Linked DNA regions of Callithrix jacchus. The protein of the gene in region 3 purifies or fractionates together with the protein of the main gene of each other region. This does not show direct contact. Links are inferred from orthologs where the notes say so. Each region holds a gene or a part of one and is shown on either strand. Other genes may lie near its edges.

The links.
Region 1: the proteins of YWHAE (region 3) and MAP3K1 purify together in Homo sapiens (co-immunoprecipitation; 3 studies listed by BioGRID and IntAct, with this or other methods). This does not show direct contact. The link is inferred for Callithrix jacchus from reciprocal best matches to the Homo sapiens genes YWHAE and MAP3K1.
Region 2: the proteins of YWHAE (region 3) and MAP3K2 purify together in Homo sapiens (affinity purification with mass spectrometry; 6 studies listed by BioGRID and IntAct, with this or other methods). This does not show direct contact. The link is inferred for Callithrix jacchus from reciprocal best matches to the Homo sapiens genes YWHAE and MAP3K2.

The regions. Positions count from the first base shown.
Region 1 is NC_133503.1:152,994,537-153,000,717, forward strand, and holds part of MAP3K1 (mitogen-activated protein kinase kinase kinase 1), read right to left. Parts: intron 5,489-6,181; coding exon 5,367-5,488; intron 3,754-5,366; coding exon 3,662-3,753; intron 3,387-3,661; coding exon 3,197-3,386; intron 2,887-3,196; coding exon 1,605-2,886; intron 956-1,604; coding exon 803-955; intron 1-802. UniProt on the Homo sapiens protein: Component of a protein kinase signal transduction cascade. Activates the ERK and JNK kinase pathways by phosphorylation of MAP2K1 and MAP2K4. May phosphorylate the MAPK8/JNK1 kinase.
Region 2 is NC_133507.1:37,086,437-37,092,717, reverse strand, and holds the start of MAP3K2 (mitogen-activated protein kinase kinase kinase 2), read right to left. Parts: upstream 3,688-6,281; 5' UTR 3,174-3,687; intron 1-3,173. UniProt on the Homo sapiens protein: Component of a protein kinase signal transduction cascade. Regulates the JNK and ERK5 pathways by phosphorylating and activating MAP2K5 and MAP2K7. Plays a role in caveolae kiss-and-run dynamics.
Region 3 is NC_133506.1:66,852,249-66,858,529, reverse strand, and holds the start of YWHAE (14-3-3 protein epsilon), read right to left. Parts: upstream 3,974-6,281; 5' UTR 3,862-3,973; coding exon 3,798-3,861; intron 1-3,797. UniProt on the Homo sapiens protein: Adapter protein implicated in the regulation of a large spectrum of both general and specialized signaling pathways. Binds to a large number of partners, usually by recognition of a phosphoserine or phosphothreonine motif.

The DNA.
Region 1 (6,181 bases), on a different chromosome or scaffold from region 3:
TTTAAACATTAAGAATCTAGCTTAAGCAGCAGTAAACATCAGAAAAATGATAAAAATGCTGGGATACAGTCAATATTCCAGTAGTCTCAGAGTAAAAATGAGAAAAGCTCAAATATGGAAAAATCAACATGATTTAAAAATGAGAGTTAGGATAAGTATGCTCATTATAAAAAGTAAACCAATGAAACCCCAAGATGGCACTCCATCAGTACACAGCTGAAAGAAGTACCTGAAAACCACACTTCTAATACCTACAAAAAGCAAAACCAAAAAACATTTTTAAGGCCATCTTGATACTGTAGTTTTACAATAATCATACTTCAACTTTTATTTATTTTATTTGAGGAGGAGTCTTGCTCTGTCACTGAGGCTAGAGGACAGTGTGCAATCTTGGCCCAATGCAACCTCCACCTCGCAGGTTCAAGCGATTCTCCTGCCTCAGCCTTCTGAGTAGCTGTGACTACAGGCGCCCACCACCATGCCTGGCCAATTTTTGTACTGTTAATAGAGGCAGGGTTTCACCATGTTGGCCAGACTGGTCCTGAACTCCTGACCTCAAATGATGCAACCACCCTCAGCCTCCCAAAGTGCTGGCATTAGAGGCGTGAGCCACTGCGCCCAGCCTCAACTTTTAATAACAGAATTCATGATGTTTCTGGTACTTTGGAAACATCTACTTTGAAATTCAAGTTTCTCAAACTTTAAAGAACTAAAGTACACACACATGTAGACATATTTTTTGTTCTTTTTATTGAATATGCTTCATTTCATGATTTCATTTATATGCTCGCTATATATTTACCTGTTTAACAGCCATTAAAGTTCCAGTTCCCACATCTTGAGCCTGGTAACAAGAAGAAAATGCTCCAAGGCCTATCTGCTGACCTTTCAGCCATTCAGTGTCTTCTCTATATGGTTGTTTTGCTTTGGTATGTCCTGGTAGAGTCTCTGGTGTCTACATATTAAATGAAAGCAATCTTTTTACTGTTAAAGGAGTAAGATTTTGGGAAATTAGTCTGGCAAGATATTATTCTTGTTCAGTTTGGCCTCCCAAACCACCTATAAATGTGACCTCTGAATGGAAATTACTGGTGACCAATGTCAAATGCAAAAATGATCACCATTATAGAATTAACTAGAAATGCCTTTTATATAGGCAAGAAGTATTGCTAAAATGTTGTTGTTGTGTAATTAATAATTTTACATCGAAAGACCTGTTTGCAATGATTAACTCATGTTAGAAGCAACATTTCTGAATTAGATTTCAGCATGGTCCAGGGAAACTCTTTTTGAGAGTTTCTTGCTCTGTCATTTAGGCTGGAGTACAGTGGTGTAATCACAGCTCACTGCAGCCTCAAATTCCCAAGTTCAAGTGACCCTCCCACCTCAGCCTCCGGAGTAGCTGGGACACCAGGCATGCACTATAATGACTGGCTAATTTTTAAAACAATTTTTTGTAGAGACAGGGTCTTGCTTTGTCACCCAGGCTGGTCTCAAACTCCTGTGCTCAGGCAATCCTTCCACCTCAGCCTCCCAAAGTGCTGGAATTACAGGTGTGAGTCACTGCCCAGCCCCAAGTAACCTCTTAAAGAATCTATACTTACATCCTGTTGAATAATGATGATATCTTCTCCATTTTCAACCTGCAGCTGAGGAACTATGGGGAGGGCATCCTGAGACGCTGACATTGCCATGGCAATTGCTAAAGCTTCTTCTTCTTCAGCTTCCATCTTTTCTTTGCACTTCTGATTATGATTCACATCATCTTTGTAGGTATCATCATTTTCAGCCTTTTCAGGAGACAGGACAGCAACTTCTGACTTAAAAGTTACTGTTGTATCACTTGAAGGCATAGATGCTTCAAGAAGGTCCTCAATACTGGAGTTGAGCTCTGTATTGACATCTAATCTGCATTTCTCCTCTACTGGGGTGAACACTGTCTCATCACTGGGTATAACAGCATTACTACTATTGCTGCTACAGCCAAAGCTGTCATCACATTTGGAACTACTGTTCAGATCAAGTGTCATGCTATTTTTTGAGGGATCTCCCTGTTTACTTGTATTACCTGGGGTAGGTCGAGATGGCTTTGGCCTGTGTATGTTACTGGAGGGCAAGGGTCTTGACTGAGTAAAGACTGGGGAAAGTTTATCTGAGTCTTTGTTTTCAGGACAGTTTCTCTGGAATTGTAGAGAAAACTTGCGCTGTGTTTGAGGAGATGCAGAAGGTATTTTGCAGGGAACGAATCCCTGAAGTCTATGCTTAGAGACATCTGTTGCAGTGCCAGCTGGTACAGATGGGGCTGAAGAAGAAGGGGTTGACAAGGCTGGGAACATTAATTGGGAATGATGAGATAAAGGAGAGGAGTTCAAACACTGACTGTGGGGTCTGCCTTTTGTTTGAACCATTGGCTTTGGTTGCTCTGTTGTTGTTGAACTAGGAGGTCCTAGTGAAATGCTGGCCAGTCTGTCAGAAATGTTCTCTGAACTGGCACTCAATTTTGTAGCACATAATCCTTTTCCAGTTTTGTCTAAATGGATTGTACACTCAGGGGAACTGTTCTCTGTGGTTTCTGGATAGTTGCTGGGGACAGATGCCTGCAAAAAGCCATCCTGTTGACTATCCAAATTGTCTTCTACGCCCAACTCGATGGCTTCAGCAATTTCCACCTCATCTGCAATAGCCATCAAACGGCGACGCATCCTGGTGAAGTGAGTGGAACTGGAAACACTCAGCATTTCTAACAGTTTTGAAAACACATGGGGTACTGCAGTGACCATTCTTGCAGAACTCAAGTAGATCCTTCTGGAAAGTTTACCAACCATTGAGTGAGAATTATCAATGGACTGTAAAGCAAAGGTTAAGAGGGACAGCAGCTTCTTATACCTGAAAGAAAAAAACATTCATTACCATGTAAGTTCTGATTACTGAAAAGTACATGGAAACTTAAAAAATGGTAGTAATTTACAGGATGTATATATACTTCAAAAACCATTTCAGCATAAAGTATCTATAAATTTTAAATTAAACACCTTAGACTTCAGGGTTTCATATGTCAACCAAATATTAAATTATCAGCAGCCTACTTATGCTCTGTAGTTTCTGAGTCTTTCATAAATCTAAAATGTGTCATTCTTGAGGAGCATGCAGGAAGGGTAGGAAGATACAAGTAATACATTTTCAGAAGAAAAATTACCTGATTTCAACAGGCTCAGCTTGTGAAACATCAGTACTGACAATATGAGGATAAAATTCAGCAGGAAATTCCAACAACAGTCTGTCTATAAGACAAAGGCGGCCAAGGAGTTCTTGCCAGTTGTTTGATTCAGTTTGGTTTCCAAGAATACAATTTAAGACATAATCAACACCACCAATACCAATGGATCCTACAAAAAGGAGAGTAAAAATAAATGATTAAAAAATAGTGATATTAAAATCTAAAACAAGACATAAATGGTATAAAGCCAACAAAAATGTTCTCAACTATTTTAAAGAATTTCTCTCTCAGATTAATTCACATATTTAACTGTAACACAATGAATCAATTTATAAAAGTACTTCAAAATCTTGTAACTGCCTCATGAGAGATTATGAGATTAGACAAAGCTCCTCAGGAACATGATAAAATAAGTTATATTTATTTTAAGTGAAAAGTTATTACCAGCTTTTAGTATTTCTCTACCAACTGCCAACTCTCCTGCTTGGCCTTTGCACAACTCCAACAATGTTGATATGGACAGCTGACTTGTGCGGCTAAAAGCAAAAGAAAAGCAATATCAATCTTGGATCTTGGATAAAATACTATTCAGTATTAGAGGAGTAATGCAGTGCCTTGTGAAAAAGTGGAGAAATAATGTTTTCAGAAGTGTTTACTTTTCCACCACTGAAATCACATTAAGGGTGTCACCATAAATAGTAATATTCATTCATTAGGTCTAATTTCATAAATTTAACATATATCTATGTTAAGCACAGAATCTTCAACAATGGCTCTAAGTATTGATTTAAATACCAAATCTGATAAAAGTCTTATCATATTTTGTTTAAAAAAAAAAGAAAAAGGACGCTGACATTTTGATTTCTGAACTTTCACTAAGAATCTCTTGAATTAAAAACAAAATCTTCCCATCCAAAAATCCTACATTCCCTTACATAGCCAGAATGAGGTTCTGAATATTATAATATCTCTCTACAGTATTTCTTATGTTCAGTCATTCAGGTGACCAGGTAAACCACCAAACTTTAGAATTTCAGAAAGTAAGCAGCACAACAAACACCATGAGATCACTGAATTCTCAGAAAAATACCTATTCTAATATTGAAAACTGACATTTTCCTATGCACTTTGCAAACTGCTTGTTAATTTGCCCATTTTAAAAATATTTACAATGTTTTCCCTAAGTGAAAAGAAAACATCTGACATTTTCAATCTATAGGGAAAACAACAGAGGCAAAAGACAGACTTCATTAGATGAGAAATTAGTTAAACGTAGGTACCTAATTTTTGAGATCCTGTGCAAACTAAGTCATTATGACTTGAAGAGGAAGAGAAAGGTACTGACAGACCTCAAAATGGGTGAAATGGAAGAGGCAAGGGAGATTCAACACTTCTTGCTAACCAAGATCTGCTGGGCTAGAAAGAAACAGGAACTACCAAACAACTATTCATGGGAGCTGTGATTATTACATGAAAAGTGATCTTTGCCTCCTATTTTATGGAAGGGAAAAATAATAGAGAACTATTGGTCTAAAAAAAGCATGGCTTATATTTGTTTTTACTGTCATTGTATCTTACTTCTCTACTTCACATTTTTCTTTCCAGTTAGGGTTATTCTTGATCCCTGACAATTTTCAAGGATATTGCAGGAAAATAAAAAAAAAAATCTAAAAATTTTTTGACAAAAACTGTCATAATTTAGAATAAAATTCCATTACACTGAAAATAATGAGATGCATTTGTTAATTTTTTATCCTGATATTAAGGCATATGTGGCTGTAATGATCTTACTGGTTCCTATCCTGTGTAATCCATACTCTAAAATGAGATTATACCTTATGAATATAAATGTCAACTATCATTCTTATCAACTGGACTTCAGATTATGAATGTTATTTAAGAGAATAAATCACAATACAATAATGTGGAGATCCATGCAGTTTGTCAGCCTGGCTTCTACTTGCTGGCAGTTCTTTTCCCCAGTCCTTAAGAGCTTTAAGTGCTGCACTTTCATTTTAAATCTTGGATTAAAATACAGTGTTCAAAGACTCATTTAATAAAATGTATCAGGCATTCACTAGGTGTGAGGCTTGCTGCAAGGCACTTTTAAGACAAGATGGTTTCAAGTGGTTCATCAACAAAGCCTTACCTATTGGCATCTGCACATTTGACTAGGATGGTGTCTACAACTGGCCGGAGAAGTCTCTGAAGTTTGATTCTTTCTGCTAAACTGTGGCAAGGAGTATATACCAGCATGGCTCTCAACGTTTTCTGAGGAAAAAAATCTGAAGGTCAGTTTATATACACTTAAAAGGCACCAGAGATAATGGCCTAATTTGAGACAATTTGAGCGACAAAATAAGTAAAGACAGGAATGAATTATAACCCATAGAATAAAAATCACATGTGTCTGTAATGATACAAACAACTAACTAAATAAATGAATGGGGTAGGAAGGAATTTTCTGAACTCTTTTCTCTGCAATTTTTAAAAGTCTGAATTCATTTCAAGATGAAAAGTTACAAAATTATTTTTAAAAAGAAAATGAGAACAGGAGCCAACCTGAAAGAGCTCCCAATGGTCAAGGCTGGAATAATTAGAGCAACAACACCAATGATGGTAGTACTGGGTTGCAACCCACAGAACAAAATGAATACCCAGGAGCCTATGCTGATGTAAATTAAAAACTGAATAGTATATAAATGGAGAAGCTCTTCTTTATAGCATAATTTCAATTAATTAATGTAGAAGGAATGAGGAAAATAGAAAATCACCATTAGAACACCATTTTTAATGATGTAGTAATAAATGCTGTAGGTAAGATCCACAAATGCTTTTAAAATCAGTGGACAGAATTTTGAGGTGAAATAGGATATCTACATAATCTCAAAGCATCTCTCACAAGATATTTATGAATATTAACTTTACAGCAGGGAAACTTGGTAGACATTCCCTTACCTGACA
Region 2 (6,281 bases), on a different chromosome or scaffold from region 3:
CTGTGAAGCTAAAAAAAGAGAAAAAAAGAAATATATTTTATAAGGCTTAACTACCATAGAGAGTGATCAGATTCTTCTGATAGATCTGAGCAAAGTAAATTGAAACCCTTCTGGAAAGGATTCATAATTCTAGATGCTATTAAGAACACTGATGATTCATGGGAGGAGGTCAAAACATCAACATTGACGGGAATTTGAAAGAAGCTGATTCCAGCCCTCATGGATGACTTTGAGGGGTTCAAGACTTCAGTGGAAGAAGTAACTGCAGATGTGATGAAAACAGCAAAAGAACTACAATTGGAAGTGGAGCTAAAACTTGAACGGATAAGAAGTTGCTTCTTATGGATGAGGAAACAAAGTCGCTTTTTTTTTTTTTGGAGACAGGGTCTTGCTCTGTTGCCCAGGCTAGAGTGCAGTGTCACAGCTCACTGCAGCCCTGACCTCCCTGGCACAAGCAATCCTCCTGCTTCAGCTTCCCAAACTACCACAAGCAGCTAACTTTTGTGGGTTTGTTTTTTTTTTTTTTGAGACAGAGTTTCACTCTTGTTACCAAGGCTGGAGTGCAATGGCGCGATCTCAGCTCACTGCAACTCCACCTCCTGGGTTCAAGCAATTCTCCTGCCTCAGCCTCCTGAGTAGCTGGGACTACAGGTGTGCGCCACCATGCCCAGCTAATTTTTGTATTTTTAGTAAAGACGGGGTTTCTCCGTGTTGACCAGATGGTCTCAATCTCTTGACCTTGTGATCCACCCACCTCGGCCTCCCAAAGTGCTGGGATTATAGGCGTGAGCCACCGTACCCGGCCAACTTTTGTATTTTTTTAATGGGTTTTTGCCATGTTGCCAAGGCTGTTCTTGAATTGCTTGGTGCAAGCAATCCTCCTGCCACAGCCTCCCAAACTGCTGGGATTATAAGCGTGACCCCATTCGGCCTGGCCAGAAAGTAGCTTCTTGAGATGGAATCTACTCCCAATGAAGATACTGTGATTATTATTGAAGTGGTAACAAACAACATCACATGCTAGAGTGAAATCTTTCATGAAAGGAAGAGTCCATTGATGCAGCAAACTTCACTAATGTCTTATTTTAAGAAATTGCCTCAGTCATCCCAAACTTCAACAACCACCCTTATCAACCACCCTTACTTACTAGTCAGCGGCCATCAACATGGAGGCAAGACCCTCCACCAGCAAAAAGATTACAACTCTCTAAAGGCGTAATGTTCTTTAGCAATTTTTAGCAATAAATAATTTTTAATTAAAGTATACATTTCTTTTAGACATAATGCCATTGCACACAATAGACTATAGTATATTGCAAACATAACTTTATATGCAATGTGAAACTAAAAAATTTGTGTGACTCACTTCATTTGCTTTATTGCGGTGGTCTGGAACCAAAAGCCACAATCTCTCTAGGGTATGCCTGTACATGTACTTATAGATAAACCAAATATGGCAAGATATCAACAAATGTTTAGAGGGTCATCATACAAGTGGTTTACTATTACCAAATTTTCTGTATGCTTGAAATTGTTTGATAATAAAAAGTGGGAGGTGGGGCAAATAGCTACAATTCTACAGGGAAAGAGCAAATCAACCTGAAACCAACGCTGTAGGAAATGTGGAGTATCAAACATGACTTTATTTTAATACAGCACCTATTAGTTTACCGCTTGGGTACTAATAAAGTAAACGAGAAACAAAAGCTCCACTTAAAACATTACTTAAAAGATTCAGTCTCTAATGCAATTCAATTATTTAAGATAAGCCTTTAACAGCTAGTTTCTCAAAACAGGCACATAGATAACCATTCTAAAATGATTCAACGTATGTTTATGTTTTAACCAAACAACAAATCAATCTGTAAAGCAGCAACATGTTAACTTTGTAATTTCTTTTCTTTACAGAGACTGCAAGGCCACAAATTTTCTTCAACCTGACAATATACTAGGAAAATAACAGACTAGTATAATTGGGCATCAATAGACTTCTTAAACATTTGCAATTATGCATAAAGCTTCAATTACTCAATGGAATGTATCAACTGTTTTTCTGTACAGAGCTCTGGCTCTTTTTTTCCCCTGACCATAGTTTAAAAAAAAAAAAAAAAAAACCCATGCTAAAATGAGAATTTTCAGTTAGTTTACAAACACTGGTAAGTAGCACTCCATATAAATGAAAGAGAATCACACCATCAAACTTTCTACGACATTCTACACATTAAAATTTCACATCGAACTATAAAATATTGCATAAGACAATGCACGAATCACTAAATTGCCTCATAATCCAGCAACAAATTTTGCAACAAGGGAATCTCAAGCAAATAACCCACTGTGAGTTCCCTTTAGCCATCAAGGACAAACTACAAAAGTCAACTTGTAACTTTTCAAGATCTATGCCGTTTCACCAAGTGTATTTCTTTTTTGTAAGACAGTAAATTTTTGCTGTACAGTACTAGTACATAGAAAGTAAAGGTATCTGAAACCATCTTTTTATTTTTAAAGCCAAAGAAATGATTTGGCAAAAGACAACGAAGAGCCTATGTTAGGAAAAAATAAACTGTAACTGCCTATGTGTTTAGAATTTTCCCCATTAAAGAAACTGCCCAGTTAGTCTCATTTTCTTCACGTATTTATTTTTGCAAGGCGAGAAATAGTCTTACAAAAAGCCATCCGCATATTCGAACCAAGTCTTCCTGGATTACTAGCTTCATGACCTTGGACAAACGCCTTAATTTCTCTGAGCCTCAAAGATTTCAGCTGTAAAATGGGGCAATATACCCACTCCATTGGGCTGGGAAGCTGAAGACAGATAATCACGACAACTGCCGGGCACAGACTAACAGCACCGTAAGTGCTACCTAAATATTCCGTAAAGAGAAAAGGGAAAAACCTTAAATCATTTCTGCTTCATCCCAAAACCAACTGCATCATTCCTTCTAAAATCTCTGCAGGGTACGTGTCTGACACTAACACAGCCCAGCAGCCTACTTCTCGCTGACCTGGGCTTCAGAACCGGTTGCAGGGGGCCCAAGGTCCACCCTCCCGGACCCAGGCAATCACCATCGAAACCTCCGACCCGGAGCGGCGCTTAGGCCGCCGCCAGCCCCTTCTCAGCCCCGACACACACACACACACACACACACACACACACGCACACACGCACGTACCGGCTGTTCCGCAGGGACGTAGAGAGCCGCAGGCCTAAGGAGGGGCCGCCCCCGCCGAACCCGCCCCTCCACCCCCTCGCGGCCTGTCACCGCGGCCCGGTCGGGGGCGGCCGCTGGGCCCCCCGGGGCCGGGGGGGCGCGCGAGGAGTCCGGCACGGGCCGGGGAGCCAGGCCCGTCCCTCTTTCACATGAAGCCCAGGCCGAATGGGGTGGCAAGCGCGTGAATCCTCACGGCCGGCCAGGTCCTCCTGGGGCTCCTCGATGCTTCTCGCTGCTGCAACCCCGAGGCCCGCGGGGAGCTGGACAGGAAAGGAGGAAGCCGCGGGCCCGCGTTGCCAGAGACCGTAGAAGAGGCGGGAGTGGCGACTCCGTGGACAAGCGCACTACTCGTCCTCGTCGTTGCCGCCGCGGGCCGTGCGCCCCTCGAACGCTGCGCCCAGCGGCCGCAGCACCCTCGTCAGGCGCCGCCGCTGAGGGCAGGCAGCCCGGCCGCCACTACACACAGACCCGTGACGGCGGGCGTAGAGCGGCGCACGTCACGGCCGCTCGCTCGTGCACGCGCCCCCCTCCGCCCGCCGGGATGGAACCCGCCGCGGGCGCGCGCCCGGCCAAGGGGAGTGGGTCGGCGCCTGCGCAGAGGCCCGCAACGCCCACACACACGCCCGGTCCTCCCCCTCCCCCTACAACCGGCCGGACTGAGCGGGGATTCCCAGTCCTGGCTCCGCCCCGGCCTCGGCCCGCCCCTAGCCCCGGGCAGCCTGAGCTGTTCCGCGTGCGCGGCGCACAAGCACCGGGGTTGTCTCTAGCCTGCTGAAGTGGCAGGTCCCAGACGTCTGGGATGTCCCAGACGTCCGAGTAGATCCCGGGAAAGGTCTCCCACGTGGGCTGCTTACGGGGCCCAAGGATAGCAGATAGCTAGCAGAGGCAGTGACCGACTGAGTCTATGGCAGGTCGTTTGCAAGGCGAAAAGCCATCTGCCTCTTAATTTGTGGCTCAAGTTTCAGAATTTTTTTCCTAAGGGACTTTAGAAATTACTTCAGTTTTGCCGCCTAACCTTAAACCACCCCCTTGGAGACCGGATGAGTGTTATTTGTGTTTTCTGTTTAGTTCTTATCACCATCGATACTTGGTTGTAACAATGGTCGTGCACTTTCGTTGGCCAGGCAAGTCTTAACTTCTCCAGCTTTACAGATGTGGAAACCTCAGCCCAGAGACATGAGTTGACACCCAGCCCCCAAAGCTAGAGTCTAAAACCCTTTCCTTCGCTCCTCATCGCCCACGGAGAAAGCATCTTCCCGCCCCCTCTCTTCTTTCCTTAAATACTCGTTACAACTTCCTGTACCATTCTCTGTTGAGCTTCTACTTGGTTTCTCCCTACATTCTGGATCCACCCCTTTCATTCATTTTCCAGACCACGTTTCCACTGCAGCATTTGAAATGAGAGAGATGGGAATGGGACCCATCCGGCCCAGCTACCCCAGCTCCGAGGGTGAAGGGAGCTGGCACTTGTGAGGGAGAAACTGTTGTGTAATGTCAAAATATCTCTGGGTTTCTTCCAGGAATTTGTATTACAAACCCATTAACAGAGGTGTCAAAGGCATAGGAAAGAGGATGTGCACCTCAGAAACAGCTCAGTGGAAAATCAGTTTACTTCTATTTGTTTAAAAAAATGGAGCACCAGGGCCGGGCGCGGTGGCTCACGCCTGTAATCCCAGCACTTTGGGAGGCCGAGGCGTGTGGATCACGAGGTCAACAGATCGAGACCATCCTGGTCAACATGGTGAAACCCTGTCTCTACTAAAAATACAAAAGATTAGCTGGGCATGGTGGCGTGTGCCTGTAATCCCAGCTACTCAGGAGGCTGAGGCAGAATTGCCTGAACCCAGGAGGAGGAGGTTGCGGTGAGCCGAGATCGCGCCATTGCACTCCAGCCTGGGTAACAGGAGCGAAACTCCGTATCAAAGAAAAAAAAAAAAAAAAAAAAAGGATCCCCTTTGGGCCGAAAGCAGTGGCTCACGCCTGTAATCCCAGCATTTTGGGAGCCCGAGGCCGGCAGATCACCTGAGGTCAGAAGTTCGAGACCAGCCCGACCAATATGGAGAAACGCCGTCTCTATTAAAAATACAAAATTAGACGGTCATGGTGGCGCATGCCTGTAATCCCCGCTACTCTGCAGCTGAAGCAGGAGAATCGCTTGAACCAGGAGGTGGAGGTTATGGTGAGCCCAGATCGTGCCATTGCACTCCAGCCTGGACAACAGGAGCAAAATTCTGTCTGAAAGAAAAAAAAAAAAGGAGGACTTTTATGCATAAAAATCTAAGGCCTTCTTGAATCTAACATTTTAAGACATATGCCACAGAAAGGAGAGTCTCAGAATGCCTGAGGATAGTATTTAAATTTTTTTTTTTTTTTTTTGAGACAGAGTCTTGCTCTGCTGCCAGGCACCAGGCTGGAGTGCAGTGGTGCGGTCTCGGCTCACTGCAACCTCCCGGGTTCAAGCAATTCTCCTGCCTCAGCTTCCCGAGTAGCTGGGACCACAGGCCCACGCCACCACATTCAGCTAATTTTTGTATTTTTTAGTAGAGAAGGGGTTTCACCATGGTCTCAATCTCTTGACCTTGTGATCGGCCCACCTCAGCCTCCCAAAGTGCTGGGATTACAGGCGTGAGCCACCGTCCTGGCCCTTTAAATCTTAAACCTCTAATATTGTTCTCCACAGTTACCGGTTACCACGTAGCAGGCATTCAGTAAAAACTTGTTTACTAAATAATCTAGAGATAGCTTTTTTTTTCCCCTCATAGTTCTGCTCATTTCTCTACTCTCTTCCCTAACTTACCATCCCTGGGGACTTCATTCACCTCTAGGTTCCTCAGAAACATCCCATGCATATAGTTATAGTAGCTATTCTTTCTTTTTTACCATTCTCCGTTTACATTGGTGACTTTTCCTCTTGCTTAGATATTAAATCTCTAACATCTTGGGTTATTTTAGTATATATGATTACAAATTAGTGATCTTGGGATTTTTTTTTCTTGAAGAAATCATCATTCAGTAAATATATATATATATATATATATATAGCCTTCCTACTCTGTGCCTGGGATTGCA
Region 3 (6,281 bases):
GCACTTAGGCTGGAGTGCAGTGGCATAATCTCAGCTCACTGCATCCTCTGATTCCCAGGTTCAAGGGATTGTACTGCCTCAGCCTCCCGAGTAGCGGGACTAGCAATATTTTTGTATTTTCAGTAGAGACATGGTTTCAACTGTGTTAGCCAGGATGGTCTCGATCTCCTGCTCTCATGATCCACCTGTCTCAGCCTCCCAAAGTGTTAGGATTACAGGCGTGAGCCGTGGAAGGAATTTTTAACACTACATTGCCCAGTTCTGTCTATGTATTTAGGTAGGAGAAAATCTTTTCTCCAAAAGTTAGTCCATTAACTGAAATGGCAATGGAAAATTGCTGGCCTATAGTCAAATAATTAGTAGTTAATCTAAATGCTTCTAAATTTATTAACAAAGTTAATTTACTACTACCCATATTTTCCCTAACAGGACTGTAGTAAAAAGTTCATTCCACACATGCTCCCTCTCCATTCTTCACTAACTAGCAGAATAAGCTAGCTGGAGGTGAGGTTCTGGTGTTTTCACAGGACAGCTCTCAAGTGACTCAACAGATGCATTCCTAGTGAATCAAAAATGACCGTCAAACTTCATCCTACCTCCCATGCAGCCAATCTTGACAGGGAGAAGATGAGGAAAGGACAAAATCAACAGCTGCTGCACAAGCCCAAATGCAGTTTATGTTGCCCCTCTGCTCCCCAAAATGGGGAAACTATTCATTTTTCCCCTCTATATTGTCCACCTTCCCCCCCTCCCCAGTGTCGCTCTGTCGTTGCCCAGTCTGGAGGGCAATGGCACAATCTCGGCTCACTGCAACCTCTACCTCCAGGGTTGAAGCAATTCTCCTACCTCAGCCTCCTGGGTGGCTATGCGCAGCTAATTTTATTTTTGTAGAGACAGGGTTTCACCACATTGGCCAGACTGGTCTTGAACTCCTGACCTCAGGTGACCCACCCACCTTGGCCTCCCAAAGTCCTGGGATGACAGGCCTGAGCCACCGCACCCAGCCTATTCCCCACGTTTTTGTACCAATTTGTATATGGGACGGTAAGACTTACTTGAGAAATGTTAAATGATGGACTTGCTTAACATGGTTTTAAACGATGTAAAAACTATTCCTTAGACCACTAGCTTGTTAAAGTAATGAGATGCTAGATGTAATCTTCAACTCCTAGCCCCAAACTTCAGTATTTCCTGTGACCCAAAATTGTCCTTTTCCTGAACACAACTTAACTCTTCCTCCCGTACCATTAAATAATCCATATAAATTGATTCCAATGCCCCAGGACAGAATTAAATGAGGCTACAAAGAAGTTTAGGCACTCGTTTAACACAGCAAGCAAAACAAAATAAACCTACTGCAGTACAGGGAGATAAGAGCGAAGGACAGCTGGAAAACCAGCACTTGCATACAAGCACCCAAAAAAGAAATCCTGCCAATACTCTTAGCTTCTTCCACCAGTCCCACCCCCTCCCCACACTTGATCAATTCCATTTGGTGACTAGAACTAAGGGAAAAACTTTTTGTCACCACAAACAAAAAAATATTGCCCTAAATAAAGGAATGGACAAAGACAGAGGCCGATTCCTGGTGTCTGTCTCCCCTCCCCTTTCTACTGAGTCCTTACCTTATGCCCAAGTCACAGGAAGAGCTCCTCACCTTGGAGATCTATTTTCCTACCGCTTTAGATGCTGAAAGGGACACCTAACATTAATAACTGCAATATTGTGGCCGTATCAAAGAATCCTACGTTCAAAACCCAATAAAGGTTCTGGTCAGAAATCCTCACGCCAAAATATAACTACAATAACCTGTAATTTATTTGGAAACTACAATCATAAGCTTTCCAATCGGTTTAAAAAAAAAAAACTCACATTCTTTCTAGTTACCACAGCCAGTTTAATTAAATAGCCCCAATCCCCACAAAACAGAAAGCATTCAAGTATCATTTGTTTCCTACGGAGAACACTAATAGATGAAGAGGGGAACATCTGGAGATGAGGGCGGAGGGGAGTCTTCCAATATAAGCACACCTATTTGTTTGATTTTTCAACACTGAAATAAAGAGAGCTGACCTTGAGCTGTACTTCCCCATTTTATCCCTTCCCTCCCCCAACAGCAACTTTGTTCAATACAAATAACAAAGAATTTACAAGACGAAATTTAGTTCAGCATATTTCGTATATTTGAGCTCTAGAGGACTTGTCTTATTTTCAAATCCCTGAATCCTCATTTCTGATAATGGGAACCAGCCCTGAGGTTATTCACATGACCAAATCGGCATTTCCAGGAAAGCAATGGCCCTCTGAAACATTTTGAAATATAGGTAGCTTAACCAGGAAAAATCTCACATCAAGGACACTAGATTCCAACCATGTCTCACCCCACCGTACCATGCAAAAGCATGAAAACCACAGCAGCCGCATACAGGACTTCTGGTTTCGGTAATACCACAGTATCGAAAAATTCTAAATGTGAGGGAAATTCAAGTCTACAGGTCAAAAAAGGTGGATGGGGGGGAGGATGAAGAAGAAACTTCCTGGCAGACACAATGGATATTTCGATCAAGTTCTGAAAGAGGACTGAAGAACCAATTAAGGGCAAAGGGACAATGAGCAAAGAGGAACTACTCAAAGTCCTACATAAACCCACTTATTTAAAATAAAAAATAATAATAAAAAAAAAGAATAGGACCTCCAACCTTCATAACTCAAAGACCCCAGGCCCAGCCGAGTGCCTGGAAGAGGCAAAGGTCCCCCACGAAGTACAAACCCGCATTTCGAGCCTGCAGAGTCAACCAAAATACAGTTACTAAACGCTACTGGAAACAACTTTATTTCAACAGGTCTTTTTTTTCCCATGTGTCATGAGGGTGCGGACAAACTGTAAAGTCATCGTTTTCCCAAACGCGAGGACGAAGGCTCGAACCCAGAGTCGCGCAGCCCCCTGGTCTCCTGGTTCCATCCATCAGAACCCGCTGCTGACGGAGCCAGAGAAAGGTTACAGGAACTTCGAGCTTCACCATTTAGAGCGCGGAAAAGGGGCGGGAGCCCGGATCTTCTGGACCTCCCCGGAAGGCGGCGAGGGGGGAAAAGCCCGAAACCCCTCACTCCGCGGCGCCGGCGGACGCAAAACAAACCCGACCGCGGCCCCGCAGCCCGCCACCGCCCAGGACCCAGAGCAGCGATGCTCGCTCGCCCGCTCCCCGCTGTCACCCAGGGCGGCCTCCCGACCCAGGCCCGAGGAAGCGCATCGCGTTCCAGGCTCTCCTTTGTGAGACTCCACGGCCGCCGCCCCACACGAAGCCTCCGGGGAGAAGCCACCGCCCCCACCCGCCATATTTCCCTGAAAGGCGCCCGCGCTACAGCTCCCGGTCTTGGCGCTCTCCCGTGTGGAGGGTGCTGCTTCCCCCGTCACCCTACCCAATCGTTCTCCACCTCCCAAGGCCGTCCCGGAAGCTTCCCTGGGGGTGGCCGGTTCCGCGGCAGCGCCCGCCATCTCCTCCCCCTCCCCCGCCCCGGGATTCGCCCTCCCCCCAGCCGCCATTTTACAACCAACTCCTCCACCCCGGCCTCTCGGCCCGCGAGGTATGTGTAGCTGAGGACAGCGAAGGGGTCACATTCCGGGGCACACGGCCTCCCGTCGCTCCGGGAGTTCCCAAGCCAGGTTCCGCTCCCCGAACCCAAGTCCCCGGGCCACGCTCGCGGACGATGCCGCCATTTTGTCTCCCGTTCCCGGCCTCTGTGGGCGGCGGCAGAGGGTCCAAGAATTCCAGCCCCCCGTTGCCCCCACAACTCACCGTCGTATCGCTCAGCCTGCTCGGCCAGCTTCGCCTGGTACACCAGATCCTCCCGATCATCCATAGCGGCAGCGGCTCCGGCAGGGTCTGCGCGACGGATGGAAACGGATAGTGTCTACGACTCTCTCAGCCTTTCGCTCCGCGTCCGGGCAGCAAAAATGGCGGCGCCTCAATCCGGGACTTCCGCCTGCGCACGCGGACAACTGCTCAGCTCTATGGCAACCGCTCCCTGGCAACTGGCGCGGGGGGCGGGTCCTGGAACCTGCGCCGGAGACGCCCCTCCTCCGTCCGCTCAGCGGGCGCCGGGGCCTAGAGGCGGGAACTGCGACTGCCGCGAGGGAGCGGCCCCCGGGGAACACGACGGCGGTGGCCAGGCCGGCCCGGGCTGCTCCTGAAAACCGCGGGCGCGAGACCTGGGCCAGACTGACGGCCGACGTCCGGCCTGCGGAAAACCACCACGGAGGCTGGGACGGTTTCTGTCATCATAGCAGGTCTTCCTGCCTGAAATCAGCGCTGTTTCTACCGCGCCCTGGTTTTCTTTTTCCTTTTTCTTTTTCTATTTTTTTGAGATGGAATTTCACCCTATCGTCCAGGCTGGAGTGCGATGGCGCGATCTCGGCTCCCTGCAACCTCCGCCTCCCGGGTTCAAGAGATTCTCCCGCCTCAGCCTCGCGAGCAGCTGGGATTACAGGCATGCGGCTCCACGCCCGACTGATTTTTGTACTTTTCGTAGCGAAGGGGGTTTCTTCATCTTGGCCAGTCTGGTCTCGAACTCCTGACCTCAGGTGATCCGCCCGCCTCGGCCTCCCAAAATGCTGGGATAACAGGCGTGAGCCACCGAGCCCAGCCAGCGTCCTGGTTTTCTCCGCCAAGCCTGGTCGTGGGCCTTTTGCAGACACTTTTACCCTCAGGGTAAAGAGCTGGGCCCTGGCCCCGGCGCGGTGACTCACTCCTGCCATCCTAGCAGTTTGGGAGGCCGAGGCCAGCGGATCACTGAAGTTGGGAGTTCAAGACCATTCTGGCCAACTTGGCGAAACCCCGTCTCTACTAAACAATGTACATATGAGGCGGGCGCGGTGGGGGGCGCCTGTAATCCCAGCTACTCCGGAGATTGACGCAACAGAATCATTTCAAACCGGGAGGGGGAGGGTGCGTTGAGCCAAGACGGCGCCATTGCACTCCAGCCTGGTCAACAAGAGCAAAACTCCATCTGAAAAAAAAAACAACACTGGGCCCTATTACAGTTGGCAGGGACAGGGGAGCTGCAGTTTTCACGCCTCCACTTTGCCCTCACACTCATCTTTATCTTCTCCTGTTTAACCTTTTTTCCCCAGAGGCTGCCATGAATGGGAGCAGGGAAATTGTTAGAAGAGGATGGTGTGGAGTACATAGTATAGAATAGTCGAACTGAGATCAATTTAAGATTGAGGAGGCAGGAATAACTCAGGGAACATTGCTTCAGTGCCTGGGCCTTGGGAGGCTGAGGCAGGAGAATCACTTGAGCCCAGGAGTTTGAGACCAGCCTAGACAACATAGCGAGATGCCATCTCTACAAAAAACTTTGTTTTTAATTAGCCAGCCATGGTGATGTCACCTGTGGTCCCAGCTACCCAAGAGACTTCGGTAGGAGGATTGCCTGAGCTTGGGAGGTCCGGGCTAAAGTGAGCCATGTTAGTGCAGCTGCACCCCTGCCTGGGCAACTGTGAAACCCTGACTCAAGAAACAAAACAAAACAAAAACAGAAAGAAAGAAAAAGGTAGGGCCCAGAGTGGTGGCTCACACCTGTAATCCCAGCACTTTGGGAGGGTGAGGCAGGTGGATCACCTGAGGTCAGGAGTTTGAAACCAGCCTGACCAACATAGAGAAATCCCGTCTCTATTTAAAACAATAATATACCTGTAATCTCAGCCACTCGAGAGGCTGAAGCAGGAGAATCGCTTGAACCCAGGAGGCAGAGGTTGTGGTGAGCCAAGATTCCCCCATTGCACTCCAGCCTGGGTGACAGAGGGAAACTCCATCTCAACAATGACAACAAAAAAAAAAGGTAGGTTAGAATCAAATTGTGAAGGACCTGGGATAGTAAGAAGTTTAAATCAATTTTTTTTTTTTTCCGAGATGGAGTCTTGCTCTGTCACCCAGGCTGGAGTGCACTTGGCACACTGCAACCTCCACCTCCTGGGTTCAAGCAATTCTCCTGCCTCAGCCTCCCGAGTAGCTGGGATTATAGACACCCATCACCATACCCCGCTAATTTTTATGTGTGTGTGTGTATATATAATTTTTTTTTTTTTTTTTGAGACGGAGTTTCACTCTTGTTACCCAGGCTGGAGTGCAATGGCGTGATCTCGGCTCACCGCAACGTCCACCTCCTGGGTTCAGGCAATTCTCCTGCTTCAGCCTCCTGAGTAGCTGGGATTACAGGCACGTGCCACCATGCCCAGCTAATTTTTTGCATTTTTAGTAGAGACGGGGTTTCACCGTGTT